3 linked regions of the Saccharomyces cerevisiae S288C genome follow. Changing the gene in region 1 together with any one later gene gives a genetic interaction. Each region holds a gene or a part of one and is shown on either strand. Other genes may lie near its edges.

What was found. A genetic interaction does not mean that the proteins touch.
Region 2: mutations in AFI1 (region 1) and STS1 together harm fitness more than expected from each alone (negative genetic interaction), as found in Saccharomyces cerevisiae (one large-scale study listed by BioGRID).
Region 3: mutations in AFI1 (region 1) and YGL114W together harm fitness more than expected from each alone (negative genetic interaction), as found in Saccharomyces cerevisiae (one large-scale study listed by BioGRID).

Annotation. Positions count from the first base shown.
Region 1 is NC_001147.6:566,271-572,792, forward strand, and holds AFI1 (Afi1p), read right to left. Parts: upstream 3,289-6,522; coding exon 607-3,288; downstream 1-606. Other genes in the region: ORT1 (Ort1p), read right to left, coding at 3,659-4,537; YOR131C (putative haloacid dehalogenase-like hydrolase), read right to left, coding at 5,912-6,522. UniProt on the Saccharomyces cerevisiae protein: Involved in actin patch polarization. Required for maintaining a proper budding pattern in yeast cells. Required for proper polarized localization of the ADP-ribosylation factor ARF3 at the plasma membrane.
Region 2 is NC_001141.2:376,787-380,019, forward strand, and holds STS1 (Sts1p), read right to left. Parts: upstream 1,461-3,233; coding exon 501-1,460; downstream 1-500. Other genes in the region: MIND complex subunit DSN1, read left to right, coding at 1-375; SQT1 (Sqt1p), read left to right, coding at 1,700-2,995; GAT4 (Gat4p), read right to left, coding at 3,233-3,233. UniProt on the Saccharomyces cerevisiae protein: Involved in ubiquitin-mediated protein degradation. Regulatory factor in the ubiquitin/proteasome pathway that controls the turnover of proteasome substrates. Targets proteasomes to the nucleus and facilitates the degradation of nuclear proteins.
Region 3 is NC_001139.9:291,618-296,137, reverse strand, and holds YGL114W (uncharacterized protein), read right to left. Parts: upstream 2,679-4,520; coding exon 501-2,678; downstream 1-500. Other genes in the region: SLD3 (Sld3p), read right to left, coding at 1-206; AMP-activated serine/threonine-protein kinase regulatory subunit SNF4, read right to left, coding at 3,137-4,105; ubiquitin-protein transferase activating protein CDC20, read right to left, coding at 4,497-4,520.

The sequences.
Region 1 (6,522 bases):
TACGCACCAATTTATACATGAAATGCTCCATAATATTGTCCATTTAGTTCTTAATAAAAGGTCAGCAAGAGTCAATCACTTAGTATTACCCGGTTCGTAGCCATGCAACAAGAGTCATTTGTCAGCATAGCTGTAATAATCAATCATGACGTAAGAAATGTATCATAATTAAAAGTTGTTAAAGATGTCAGTGTTATGTTGGTGTTACAAAATTCTCGGCTTCTCACTAATATTTAATATCTCTTAAATTTTATCTGTCTTTGATTCTTTTAAGAAAAGTTATGTATTATTCAAGAAAAAGTCAATTCCGCATCAAAAGGTAAAATTTATATAAACTGCTTTAAAATTTCATGAAACTAGGCAACTTTTCGAAATGATCTTTTTCGAGCATGAAGTTTCTTTTATAATAACCTGGTCAAAAGCTTTCAATATATAATACATTTGGTATTTACGGAAATGAGATGATATACTGGTAGTGCGCTAGTCAAGTTCTAATTAAATTAAAATGCAAAATAGTAATGTCAGATGGACACATTGGGCGAAATAGCTAACCCATAAGCATGAATCCTGTAACTTATGTAATACGTTAATCACGATACGGCGTTACTAGTCTTCCTTTTGAGTGGTTTCTAATGTAGATTCTTGTTGTTCGTTAATTTGCTTCAAGCCGTTTAGCATTCCTGATTCGTTTGAAGATAGAGGAACAGATGCGCCAGCGAAAGATGATGATGCAATGGTAGAGGAAGTGTTGGTCGAATCTCCCTTTTTGGAAATAAAGTGTCGTTTTGATTCTAGATAGGCTTCTCGCAATTGATTGTGGAGATACTTCTTTAAAAGGGCCATACCTATGGGATGACATTCTAACCTATAGAGTAATTTCGTAATAGCATAGCAGATTTTTGACGCCCTTCTTTCTAGTAGAGGAGAAGCCCTTAGCTTGGGTGAGATGACTGAGGATGCGTTTGTAAATTCGGGATAATTGGAATTTCCAGTACCCTGCCCATTACCTCCCAGAATCCTTATATTAGGGCGTGTACTCAGTTGTAAAAACTGTCTCAATGAAGAAGATTGAGCAATTCTGGTCAAATACGTTCTTCTCCTGGACAGAGATTTTGTGAAGGGCAAATCCTGCCCACTTTCTTTTGTAATAAATGTGAGGAAAAACGCCAAGATATCAAAACTGTAAATTTGAGTAAAAAGATCTATTGCTGATACTATAACACCGTGGGGATCTTTTTCGATGCCCATATAGCTGTTAAAATTATCGAAACCCTGACGCACTTCGCTTTCAAAACTCCACCTAGAAATATTATCACCGTGTAACTGAGCTGTGGGTAATATTTTGAACGGAGAATAGTTCAAACAAGCGTTTAAAAACTTCTCAATGTTTGTCCTGCTTACCGATACCATGCGAAACAGCTCTTTAACAATGTCCAATATTTGGCTTAATTGGGAATATATTTGCTCTGTGGAAAATAACTGGCATGTGTTTCCTAAGCTAAATAAACAATTATCCAAGTTAGACAATAGTTCAATACTATGCAGTGTAAAATAATCAAAGAACTCCGGGAAAATGAAAAAATCTTTATAAAACATGATATATTCATCTTTTAGTGCTATATTAGGTGGAATTTCTCGTCTTTTCAAAGCGTCCAGAAGGTTTTCCAACTGAAGAACATTCAGCCTTCTCAAAACGCTCATGATAGTATCACTATCATGATATTCGTCGATAAGAAGAGAAAAGAGCTTCTGGCCCAAGTTTACCTGACTTTCGTTGACTGCGTTGGTTGAGAAATGAGGCCTATTGAATATCTTTCTCAAAGGGTTAGGCCCAATCTTCACTTCTGCCACTGTATCTGGCTTTTCTTTTTCTGGACTATTATTTTCATAAAACACTCCCTCATCCACATCGTAGTAATAATCCCAGATATCTAACTGGTATCGGAAAATTGGATTGGCAGTTCCGATAATTGCAAAGCATCCGACAAAATCACTATTCGATGCTACATACGCCCGCAAACCGTCAACAAGAGAAATGTCCATATAGGGAAAAATCAACGCAGCATTTCCTTTGAAGTATGATTGTGGATCGCTAGCATAAGTTGCCGTTATGTTGGCTAATGACAAAATAAAAGCGCATAGGTCTTCTTTACTCAGTTTAGTTGAATTGATGACTAACTTCCATGCATTAACTTTTTGTCCGGCTTTAAGAAGGTAAGGGACAAATTTATCCAAAAATTTTAAAACTAGTTCATTATAATCATTTTCAATATAAATAGGCTCTCTTCTAATCATATTAAATTGCAATGGGATTTTTAACAAAAATGGCGGGAGCGTCTTTGGCTGAAATCTTGTAAAATGATATTGAATGAGTTGGTCATGAAAAGTCACAATGTTACCATACTTGTCCTTAGTGTCAAATCCATTGATGCAAAAGAGTTTCTTTAAAGTGGAATCCGGGTCTAAAAATACTTTGGTAATGATAGATTCGTCATGGATAGAGTGTAGCACTTCTTGTATACTACTTTTGGAATGTATGTCATTAATCAATGTAAGGTCAATACTGTTTAGCATATTAAAGCAATCAAGCAGTATGTCTGTAGCAGCAGCTTGAGTGGGAGCTTTCATATACAAGTCTAACACTAATACAATAATATTTTTGAATGCAAAGAAGGTTTTTAATGGTGTTCCGATGGCAATCGACTTGATTACTGCCCCTCTATCGTTCGTGGTGTCTAATACTGTGTTGGCGACATTTATGAAAAATAAAGGTTCGTTGTCGATGGCTTTCTGATTATTCTGAACTTCCTGGCATTCGAGCTCATCATCTTCCAAGACAATAGTGTATCTATTATTTTTTGCATCTTGATGATTTTCGGCATCGTAATATATGCTATTGGTAACACTACCATCTGACTGTTCACGATGATGCAGATTGAAACTGAAACGAGGGTCTTTTGGCACAGGAAAGAGTTGATAGTTTTGAGTAAACTTATTGTAATAAAGGGTAAACACTGTAATATCTTGTTTGCCGGGATTTCTCTCTATGCTACTCGGTATCATTAAACTTGCCAAGTTCATAGACACCGACGTATTGCCGTTGCGTTGCTCATGTGAGAACTGATTGAAACCTGGAATATCTTTCGGGTATTGGTGCTTCAAAATAGGACCTAATTTATTATCAAATTCTGCGGATATTATATAGCTGACATTCGGCCTTTCAAAAGGAAAGGATTCATTTTCTATCGACCTGTTGCTGATAGAGTTATTTAGTTCTCTTCGCAACATCCGGTAGCCAAAAATGTTTGCGTACCAAAGACTCTAACAGTGGGCGGTACTATGCTTGATCTTGATTTTATAGAGCTTGCACTTTTATAGAAGAACCATTGCTACCTAGACAGTTTTTTTTGTTTACATTCGAATCATTTTTTTTTTTGCATTTAGTTAAATCCGAAGTCCTGACTAGATAATTTACTGTCAGAGAATAGTAGCATCTATGCAAGAAACTGGTATACAATAGTCGAGAGGTTGTTGTAAAAAACACAAAATACTAACACAAAGCCTGGCTGTTGAGATTGTGCGACATTCTTGATCAGTAAATGGTATTACAGACTGTCTATCAATGTTACATACTTGCTTATTACACGATTTATTGTATTTAAAGTGCAGAAAGAGTCTCAAAGATGTAAAAAACTGCAGCGTTTGCTGGTACTGCCCTAAAAAGGGTTATACCCAGTCCTCGATAAAAACCCTTTAGTCCAAATTTGCCAAATATCTTCTTCACCGCATTGGTGAGGCTTATATGTTCAGTTTGCATTACTGATTTCACAGTATCCGCAGGAAAAATACTGGCGTTGAATGCCAATCCAGCGCTCCCTCCACTAATAAGTAGTTCCCATATCTTACTTTCATCTCTTTTTGGGTCATCAAGGGAGTGCCTATCTTTCAACGACTTCTTAACTATTTCGTAGGTTGCAAACCAGGCAACACCACCGAAGCTTTCTCGAATAAAAGTGCCCGATTGCCCTTGCCACAATCCTGCCAATCCTCTCTCAGTTATAATTGCTTTTATTGTAGGCAACACCTTTGTATGTTTCGTTTTAGCTGATGCAACTTGTAAGTTCGCAACCTGCAACTTACACTTCACCAGCTCCACGGGTGTCAAAACTAAACTAGCACATGAACCCGCTACTCCACCAGAGATCAGGATTTGCCCCAACGGGGAAACGTTTGTATGTTTTTCTAAAAATTTAGAACATTGGTTATAAGACACAAATAATGTCGCGTTCTCCAGACATGCTCCAACTAAAGGTGAAGCAATGCCTTGAAAAAACCCTCGTGCTATTCCTTCATTTTGGTAAGTAAATTTTATACAAGACCATGTTGTTGGGAACACGTTGGATGCTTGTGTTTGCAACCTGACTTTCACAGTATCGAAAGGAAACTCGATCACCTTACCACAGGCGCCTGCAATGGAACCGTTTATTATATCGAGTATAGCGCCTTCTATTAATCCTTTCTTTTTACTGTCCTCCATTATACGTTGACCTTCCAGAATTTGAGTTCCCTATAGGTTAAAGAAAAGTTTCTACGACAAAGCATCTACGCTTTAACAATTAACTATACCCGTGCTTCGATAATTTCACACTTTTCTGAATCTATCGACGCCAGGAGCAGAGAACTTATCATTGGCGATTCTTGACGCTGCGGCCACAGCGGCCACAGCGGAAAACGTATATGTCACATTTTTCGAGCTCAAGGTGAGTCACGATGCAGAACTGGAACGTACTAGGACTAAGTTGCAACGATGAAACTACAATGCTACGCTTTCTTCGTGCTAAGTACTCATTGTATCCATTAATATGGTCCACAAAAAGGGTAGGCTGCTGTTGTGCTTCATTAAGACTGGTCAAAAACACGGATCCAGCAGCAACAGCACCTGCATGGATGGAATAGGATTGGTGCTAAATCACTTGGAATTAAACACAAGGATTTTGGTCGGCAATATTATATAAATATAGTCAGATGAGTGCTTCATTTTTGTTGATAAGTATTAATGAAGATTAAGTGTGGATAATACTGTCTTTGATACTATACATTTAATGTGACGAATTGTATGACTCGTATACATAACTACCAAAGCGTAGATCTTTAACTTATTTTCAGCACTGTCCGAAATGCTCAGTTAGCAGTTTAGTACATTCACGTTAAAACGTGTATGTTCGAATAAAAATCAACTCACTCATCGACTGATATTCATACTACTGGTATATTGTCATACGGTGTAAGAAGATGACATAAAATCGAAAAACAATGGTAAAGTATAATGGCAACTGAAATGCAAGGATTTGATAACGTCATAAAATGATGAAAAATATAAAATGGAGGGAGAAGTAACAGGTACGTAGAAATATTGGTTCCCTTTATGGATCCCTATATCATCGTGCAGAACTTCTCGTATATTCGATATACCTAAATTATAGCCCTTAACAATAATGAAATCCTAACGATTATCCCGAAAATTCACCTATTTCTCAGTATATGAAATGTACATTAACGTAAACACTCATCTTGCTACCATCATTATTTATATTGACATTAATGATCACTTGCTGCAACATTTTTTTATTTTTTCAAATCATATGAAACAAGTATTAATAAAAACACCGTTAACCCAACAATTAAAATCCGTGATAGTTTAATGGTCAGAATGGGCGCTTGTCGCGTGCCAGATCGGGGTTCAATTCCCCGTCGCGGAGATTTTTTTGCTGATTTGATGTGTTCTCGAACTTTGTGATGCCGAAAAAATCAAGGTAATTCCGCCATAGCTACTATATTAGCTCTAAAAAACATCTAAGAATAAAATGGTATTTCAATCATATGTACATATCTAAGTAAAGTTTTTTTTTTTTTAGAAACTTTCTTTATTCATATTTTGAATCAATTCAATTATTTCGGAAAGATCCTCTACTGAAACGTCTACTAGTTCTTTATGTTCGAGCAGTAAATGTCCATTCACATGATTCTTGAGTAATACCGTGAAACATCCAGCAGATCTACCGGATTTCATGTCGTCAAATGAATCTCCTACCATGATCATTTCCAAGGGCCTTATATTTAGCTTCGAGGCGATGTGTAATAATGGGTCTGGTTGCGGTTTTGTAGGCCTAAACTCCCTTGTCACAATATAGTCAAACCTCGAAAGCTCGGATGGAATAAATCTTTTAACAAAAGTCTCTACCGGGGCTCCGACATTTCTAGTACATATGTTCTTGCTAATACCATTTTTCGTCAAATACCTCATTATGTCAACCAGACCAGGCTGCGGTTGCATCTCCTTCATGGCTTTTGCCTCAACTAATTCTATTCTATCATGCGCTTCTTTTTTTTCTTTTTCTGTGGGCAATGTATCAATGAAATGAAGGATATCAATCGATTTGTCCTCCAATCCTATGGCGTTTCTCATTGCTGGAAACATCCAAGGCTGGGGTAGGCATAATGTGCCATCCATATCAAATACAA
Region 2 (3,233 bases), on another chromosome or scaffold:
GCGATCAAAAATGAAGTGAAAGAATGGGCAGTCACTTTAGACACTTCGAGACCAGATCTTGAATGGCAAGAATTGACTTCATTCTCATCACAACCACTGGAACCGTTGTCGGATACAGAAGAGCCAGACCTTGCGATTGCAGATGTTGAGACAAAGTTAGAAACAAAAGTCGATGAGCTAAGGTACCAGTCGCATATATTAAACTCGCACTCACTAGCCTTAAACGAAATAACAAATTCAAAAGTGAATAAATTGAACATAGAAACAATGAGAAAGATCTCAAGCGAAACGGACGATGACCACTCACAAGTGATTAATCCTCAACAGCTGTTGAAGGGATTAAGTTTATCTTTCAGTAAAAAACTGGATTTATGAAATAAAAGAAAAAATCAAAAAAAAATCGGATACTTCTGCATATGTAACATTACACAGTCATACATTTATATATACATATATATACATATTAATGTATTTGAAAAAGCAAAAGAACCATTCTATCCTTAGTTAAAGGGCGAATCAGTAGCAGCGCTACCACTATTGTTATTGTTTTCGTTTGCTGTCATGGTATCGTGGTGGTAAATAATACTTTCTTGAAGTGATAATGTTGATGACGATGCTGCTGAAGGGCTACCCATATCTAAAGATTTGAACAGCTGGAGTGGGCGTTCCAATAACCCATTTGAATGTTCATTGTATACCTGTAATCTTGTCATATGACTTTTCCAGACGGAGCTATTATCTGCTAATAAAATTATCCTGTCACGGGCAACATGTTCAATAAGCGTACACCATACGTGAGACAATTGTTCAATGCATTTATCGTAGTAGTAATTATTACTAGCTAATTCAAATCTGGGCAATTTGATAACTAATTCCGTGCAAATGTCTAAGAATTTTAATGATGCGTGCAAATTTTCCAAACGTGGTGGAATGTTATCCAGTATGAAATCCACCAAACAGTTTAAGAACTCCAGAATTTGAGGTTTCATTCTCACGAAAGCATAGTCATCTAATTTATTACTCTCATAAGACCTATTGTAAGGTATGCTCTGGTAAACGGCTTCTGATTTTTGTTTCAACATGTCCAGACACTTTTGTATACTGAAGTCTAATCCGATGACTCTCGTATGTACGCTTTGTTGTATTTCTGGATGTTTTGTCATCAAATCCACCAACAACTGCTGTAATTGGTTCTTGTTCATTAGTTCCATGCCTCGTTGCAAGGGCAGAGGCTGCCCTCTGATGAGCGATCCTGGCTGAGGCCTCCTCTTGGAGACGCCCCCATATTTCATCACATTCTTGTTACGAGGTAGTTCTTCCTCTTCTTGCTCCTCGTTGGCATACCGCCTTTTTTGTTTCACTCCAGCAGTTGGAATCATTACATTGCCTGTGCCTTGTGAACTGACTGTACTCTGTGTTATTTTACTGCTGGGTTTAAAACCCCATTCAAACCCCATCATAATGCTATACTGTCCTGTGTTTGTTGCTTTTGCCAGGTACCTTCGAACACACTAAGTGAGAATACTTGGTTAAGTATATTTTTAAGTAAGAAATTCCCACTCGCCGCATTATCACCCGCCCGCCGTTTCTTTTTCTGGCAAAATTTTCACTATGAATAACTAAAGAGATACATTCGATGGGCTTTAGATGAGGCCTTTTGAAGACCAAAACAGCACCAAATAGCGACACATTAAGCGTAATGGAACCTCAAGAAGAGTTTATAACTACCGAAGAAGTTGAGCAGGAGATTGTGCCCACTGTGGAGGTCGAACAAGACGTTCCCGTTGATATTGAAGGAGAGAATGACGACGATGATGAAATGATGAATGATGATGAGGAAGCTTTGGAGGTCGACATGTCCAACAACTCGCTTACCTATTTCGATAAGCACACAGACTCCGTGTTTGCCATTGGCCATCATCCTAACCTGCCGCTAGTATGTACCGGTGGGGGTGATAACTTGGCACATCTTTGGACATCACATTCACAGCCACCCAAGTTTGCTGGCACTCTAACCGGTTATGGCGAATCTGTGATTTCATGTTCTTTCACTTCTGAAGGGGGCTTCTTGGTCACTGCCGATATGTCGGGGAAGGTTCTTGTACACATGGGTCAAAAAGGTGGCGCTCAGTGGAAGTTGGCATCGCAAATGCAAGAAGTCGAAGAGATTGTTTGGCTGAAAACTCATCCCACTATAGCAAGGACGTTTGCGTTTGGTGCAACTGATGGATCTGTTTGGTGCTACCAGATTAATGAGCAGGATGGTTCTTTGGAACAGTTAATGTCTGGTTTTGTACACCAGCAAGATTGCTCTATGGGTGAATTCATTAACACCGACAAGGGTGAAAATACGCTGGAATTAGTCACTTGTTCTTTGGATAGCACTATTGTGGCATGGAATTGCTTCACTGGCCAACAATTATTTAAGATCACACAGGCAGAAATCAAGGGATTAGAAGCTCCATGGATTTCCCTATCATTAGCTCCGGAAACTTTGACCAAGGGTAACTCGGGTGTCGTGGCATGTGGGTCCAACAATGGTCTTCTGGCAGTAATTAATTGTAACAATGGCGGTGCGATTTTACATTTATCTACAGTGATTGAACTAAAGCCAGAACAAGACGAATTAGATGCCTCCATTGAATCCATTTCTTGGTCATCCAAATTCTCCCTTATGGCCATTGGCCTTGTCTGCGGTGAAATACTCTTATATGATACAAGTGCATGGAGAGTAAGACACAAGTTTGTTCTCGAAGATTCTGTTACAAAACTTATGTTTGATAATGATGACTTATTCGCATCGTGTATCAATGGTAAGGTTTACCAGTTTAATGCAAGAACTGGCCAAGAGAAGTTTGTTTGTGTGGGCCATAATATGGGGGTTCTTGATTTTATATTACTGCATCCTGTGGCAAATACCGGCACCGAGCAGAAGAGAAAAGTAATAACTGCAGGTGATGAAGGTGTATCTCTGGTGTTCGAGGTACCAAACTGATAGATAGTCGCGTATACATAAATAACAAAAAAACAAATTCAATAACATAAAATAAAAATACTTTTACATACAGAAGAAGAAACTTTATATATTCGACAAAGGAAAATGTAAAAAAAAAAAACACATTATTTTAAAAGAACTGCGCTCATTATCGTCGTTAACGATTTTATTATTACATGTTGAACGTTACATTGTCTTTTTGTCCCGATAGGTTGAAAGCTGAAAAAGTATAATGGGT
Region 3 (4,520 bases), on another chromosome or scaffold:
AATCCTGGCCCATATTCCTCTAGTAGAAAATACTCTTTTCTTGATTTCATGCAGATGTGTTTCAATTGACGTCGATTCTTCTGTTGCAGTAATTGGAGAATGTTACTGGGCACGTCCTCGGATTTAATAATAAGTGGATGATCTAAGCTCAAGTCAAGGCCTTTTGTTGCTTCTTTTACCGATGCTATGACTTCCCATGTTTCCATTATGAGAGGTCAGATCGTTCCTACCTATACGATCTTAACCCTTCAGCAGTTATGAATGAGGCTTCTGCCTGTTTTAACAGTGCCCATCACTTTTTTTTATTTTTCTTAAATGGACCATGTTGTACACCAAGATAGCCGATATTTCAAGGTCGCGTATAATATAACATTTTGCCTAGGATTTTTGTCACCTAGAAATATATATACAGGGAAATCTAAGACATCGAATTATGTGATGAGTAAATAATTTAAAATTTGTAAACTTTGTAAATTCTTTATTAGTAAAATATTATATACCTAATAGTGAGGGACATTTAAGCAGATGAAGAGCATGTTTATTACGCTAAAGATACCTTCACCTAAGACCAACCCCGAACTGAATACAATCATTTTTGTTTTCGCATTTAAGTCACCCCTATGATTCTTCAACCAAAAATGCGAAGCCCACCCGCCGATGAATCTTGCAATTGTAAAACTGGGAGAATTAAATATACCAACACCGACTGCTACACCAGACGGAATATATAATATCCACCCGTATCCGTAATCTCTATAAGTGTTTCTGATTAATGATAAAACGGCAAATATGACTCCGAGAATCATGGAGCACTCCAAGGCCTTATCAGGGAGCCCTTTACCAGTTACTAGTCTTGCACAATCTATCCACACTACTGCTGTCGGTATCCTGAATTGCTCACTCGGAATTGAATAAACTTTATTGTAGCACAAATACATGAAGCTAGACAAAATAATTGACCAACAGGCCCCTATCAATTGGGCACAGAACTGAGCTCTTGGGGAGGCGCCGAGGAGGTGCCCCGTTTTCAAATCCTGCATTAAATCGCCCGCCTGTTGGGCAGAGGCTTCTGCAATACCTCCCGATACCACGTTCATTAACACTGATCCAGGTCTATCCCTTGGTATGATAAAGGCAAAAATCAATTGAGAGATCTTACCAATGCCGCTCACAGGATTCAGATCGGTCTCTCCAAGTGCTCGAATACCGAGAATAGATAGAAACAACGCAAGTATCAAAGCAGTGATAATAGCATATAGGGGAATTACTTGTATCCCAAACAAATATATTATGGAAACAATGCATATTATCGAGGAGACTAGACATCCACTGATAACGGTGGTATAGCGAACCAAATGCTTCGAATCTACTTCTATTTCGTTATCTCTACTCACTAATCTTACGGTGTCCTGCCTTCCATCAACATATGTATTTCTTCTGCTGCTATTAATGGCGCGTTCCTCCTCCAGTAACATAGATTGAAATGTATCATCGATTATGTTGTTCAGTAAAGCAGCTTTGTCATCTATAAGAATAAATTTCACAATGGACTTCACTGTCACAACAATAAAAGCGACTACACTGTCAGCAACCATTATTGAAAGCGACGACCAAAGAATCCATCCTTGCACTCCCTCCTCCCAGTCGTGGACATCAGCATCTGGTGGTACCCATCTTTTGTATCTCGCCAATGGTGCTAACACACCCCAGCCTAAGAAGCACCCGATAAGCATATACGATACTGTTGGAAGACCCATTATTATCCCTTGGCCTATATACGCAGGCGACGGCTGAAAATTCCAGAGATAATTGTTCGAGAGGTATTTTCCGAAGACTGGAATAGACCGTATTACCGGTACAAAATATGACACCATGGTGTAAAGCGAAGAAACAACAAAAGTTTTCAATAAAATAATAATATTCGCTCTGTAGTTCTCAGAGCCAGTAGAAAGGATAGAACTTCCATCTTGGCTAGTTGCCGTATAATCACCAAGTTCGCTATGAGAAGAGTTCATTAAATAATCCGCCTCCTCTGGATCTCTGTTGGGTTGTAGCACTTCAGGGCATTCATTCAATCTCCTCTGCCTCATTTCCAATAACTCTGACTTAGAAACCTCTTGTAAAATCTCAGTTCCATTTAGCACTGAAATTAAAGTGGCCGTGGCGCTACCACTGGGGAAGGGAAGTTTCTCTCTAACAATTACTTGCTTTCTTAGAGGAACTGCAAAAAAAATACCGAAGAATGCTAGGGCTGTGGACCATATTAACAATTCTCTAAAAGTGAAGGACTGTCCTTGTTCCCTTAATCCACCACTTTCGTCGTTAGTAAGGAACTTCTCGATGGCAGGTATGACGCCGACAAACCCAAAGGCTAATGGGCCTGTTCCGACAGCTACTGCCATACTTTGTACGTATACATTTTCAACGTCACTGAAAGGCCTGTCGTTCGGAAATATTAATGGCCAGATATTTTTAAAGAAAGCACAAGCTAACAATGCCGATGGCAGGGACATCATGGAAACCCAACCGGTTTGCAGGCCAAATTGAAAATTTGATGTTAGCACCAGAGACCCTATAGCGATACCTGCTATGGTTGCTCGGAGTGTTATCTGCTTCAAAGCAGGTTTATTATCCCATGGTACACGCTGTACTTCTTGACTTGGAGTAGATTGAGGCATTTCAAAGTATTTACAGTACCGATTTAGAATCTTTAACGGTTAGTCCTCTATACTGTGACTCTTTTTCTTCCTATCTTGGTGCGAAAATAAAAAAAATGATGCCTTGAGATAGATCTCACGAAAAATACCTTCTACGGCGTTAAATTTACAGCTTTTCTTTAGCTGCCTGTACCTTTTTGATGAACTAATTTATTTTGGTATCAACAGACAATACTACAAAAGGCTTTGCATTATCTTCCTTCACCCTTATATGCAGCATTCCCCCCTCCCAGAGATCGCATCAGTATCATTACTAATCGATTTTTCACTTCGCTTTATAACCGAATTTCCGCCGAATTATACCCAAAATAAGCAAGATGAAAATATATTGGTCAGATGAAGTATGCATGACTGATTAATCATGACTTTATTAGTTGCATTTATTTATAGTATGTACACAAAAATCTCATCGGCTCGTTTCAGTTGCTACCTAGAAGGATATATTTGAGAATATCGCTTAACGTCAAGACACCAACCAACCGTCCGACGTCATCAACTACAAAGAATCTATGCACCCTTGCTTTTCTGATGTTATCCATAATAGTAGATAATTTATCATTCTTAGTGCATGTATAAACACCCTCAAAATCATCACTTCTCCTCATAAGGGCTTCTCCGACGCTCAATGACAGGTCGTTGTAGATGCCTCCTTTTATCAAGCCTAGGACATCGTATGCTTCATATACGTTGATTAAGTAGCCGTTTTCGTCAATAATAGGGACGGAAGAAACCCGACCTTGGGTAAGCATCTGAATGACGTCTATGACCGGAGTGGTCATTTGACAGCTTTTCATGTTATCTTGCGTAATAATGTTCAAGTCCCCAATTGGAATCTTTAGAAAATGTGTTTCCCTGCAATTTAAAGCAACGAACTTCAGAATTCTATATTGCGTAAGAACACTAACGACAATTTCTCTATGTGTCTCTTCATCTTGATCGATCAGTGGTATTCTACCACTTCTTGATTCTAACATCTTAAGACACGCCTCAAATAAGGGTCTAGAAGGATGAATTGAAGCTGTATCTAGTTGATCAACACCGAGAGCACGCTCTATATCTTTTAATCCATCTAACTGTAATTTGTCTACTAATTCGAACTTATCTGGATTGGAGAAGTAATACTGGATGACATTAATAAAATCTGTAGTAGTTAGAAGTCCAGCGAACCTGGAAGTCTTGGAGTCCCATAATGGCGCAGAGACAATGCTATTTTGCAAAAGAACATTCAGTGATTTCTTCACTAACAACGAGGTGTCCAAGACAATTAAACGGTAAGAAACAGGCAACACGTCATAAGATGTTTTCGAGTTCAAAAACTTCCTTATCGATTCTACAGCTAACTGCTGTTCAATAGAAACCTTTTCTTGTGAATCCTGTGTCGGTTTCATTATGTATTTTCCTTTTCGCTTCCTCCTAATGCTAACACAGCAGAAGATGTTTAGCTAACGTTAAAAGATTGATACAATTTTCCAGTTTGCAGCAAAACCACTAGCCCAAGAAGTTCTCAATGTAGATATTATGTTAATAACGATTATTGCATTGCTATGGTTTCTTCCAAGGCCTAAATTTTGTTATTTGCTAAATTTCTCTCCCTCCCAGTTCTCGCGCGTGTGGTGTGTGGGTTCTTTAACATGTGATGAGTTATATCTTGATGTATTCTCAAGGTTCATTACTTTTATTTCTTAAGCTTCTTGAATACATTTATGTTTATACATTATGTATGCGTGTATGGAAATTTCATTATATGCCTTGACATGAACTTTTATTTTTTTTATTTTATCACCTGATCAAATATTGGCTGGT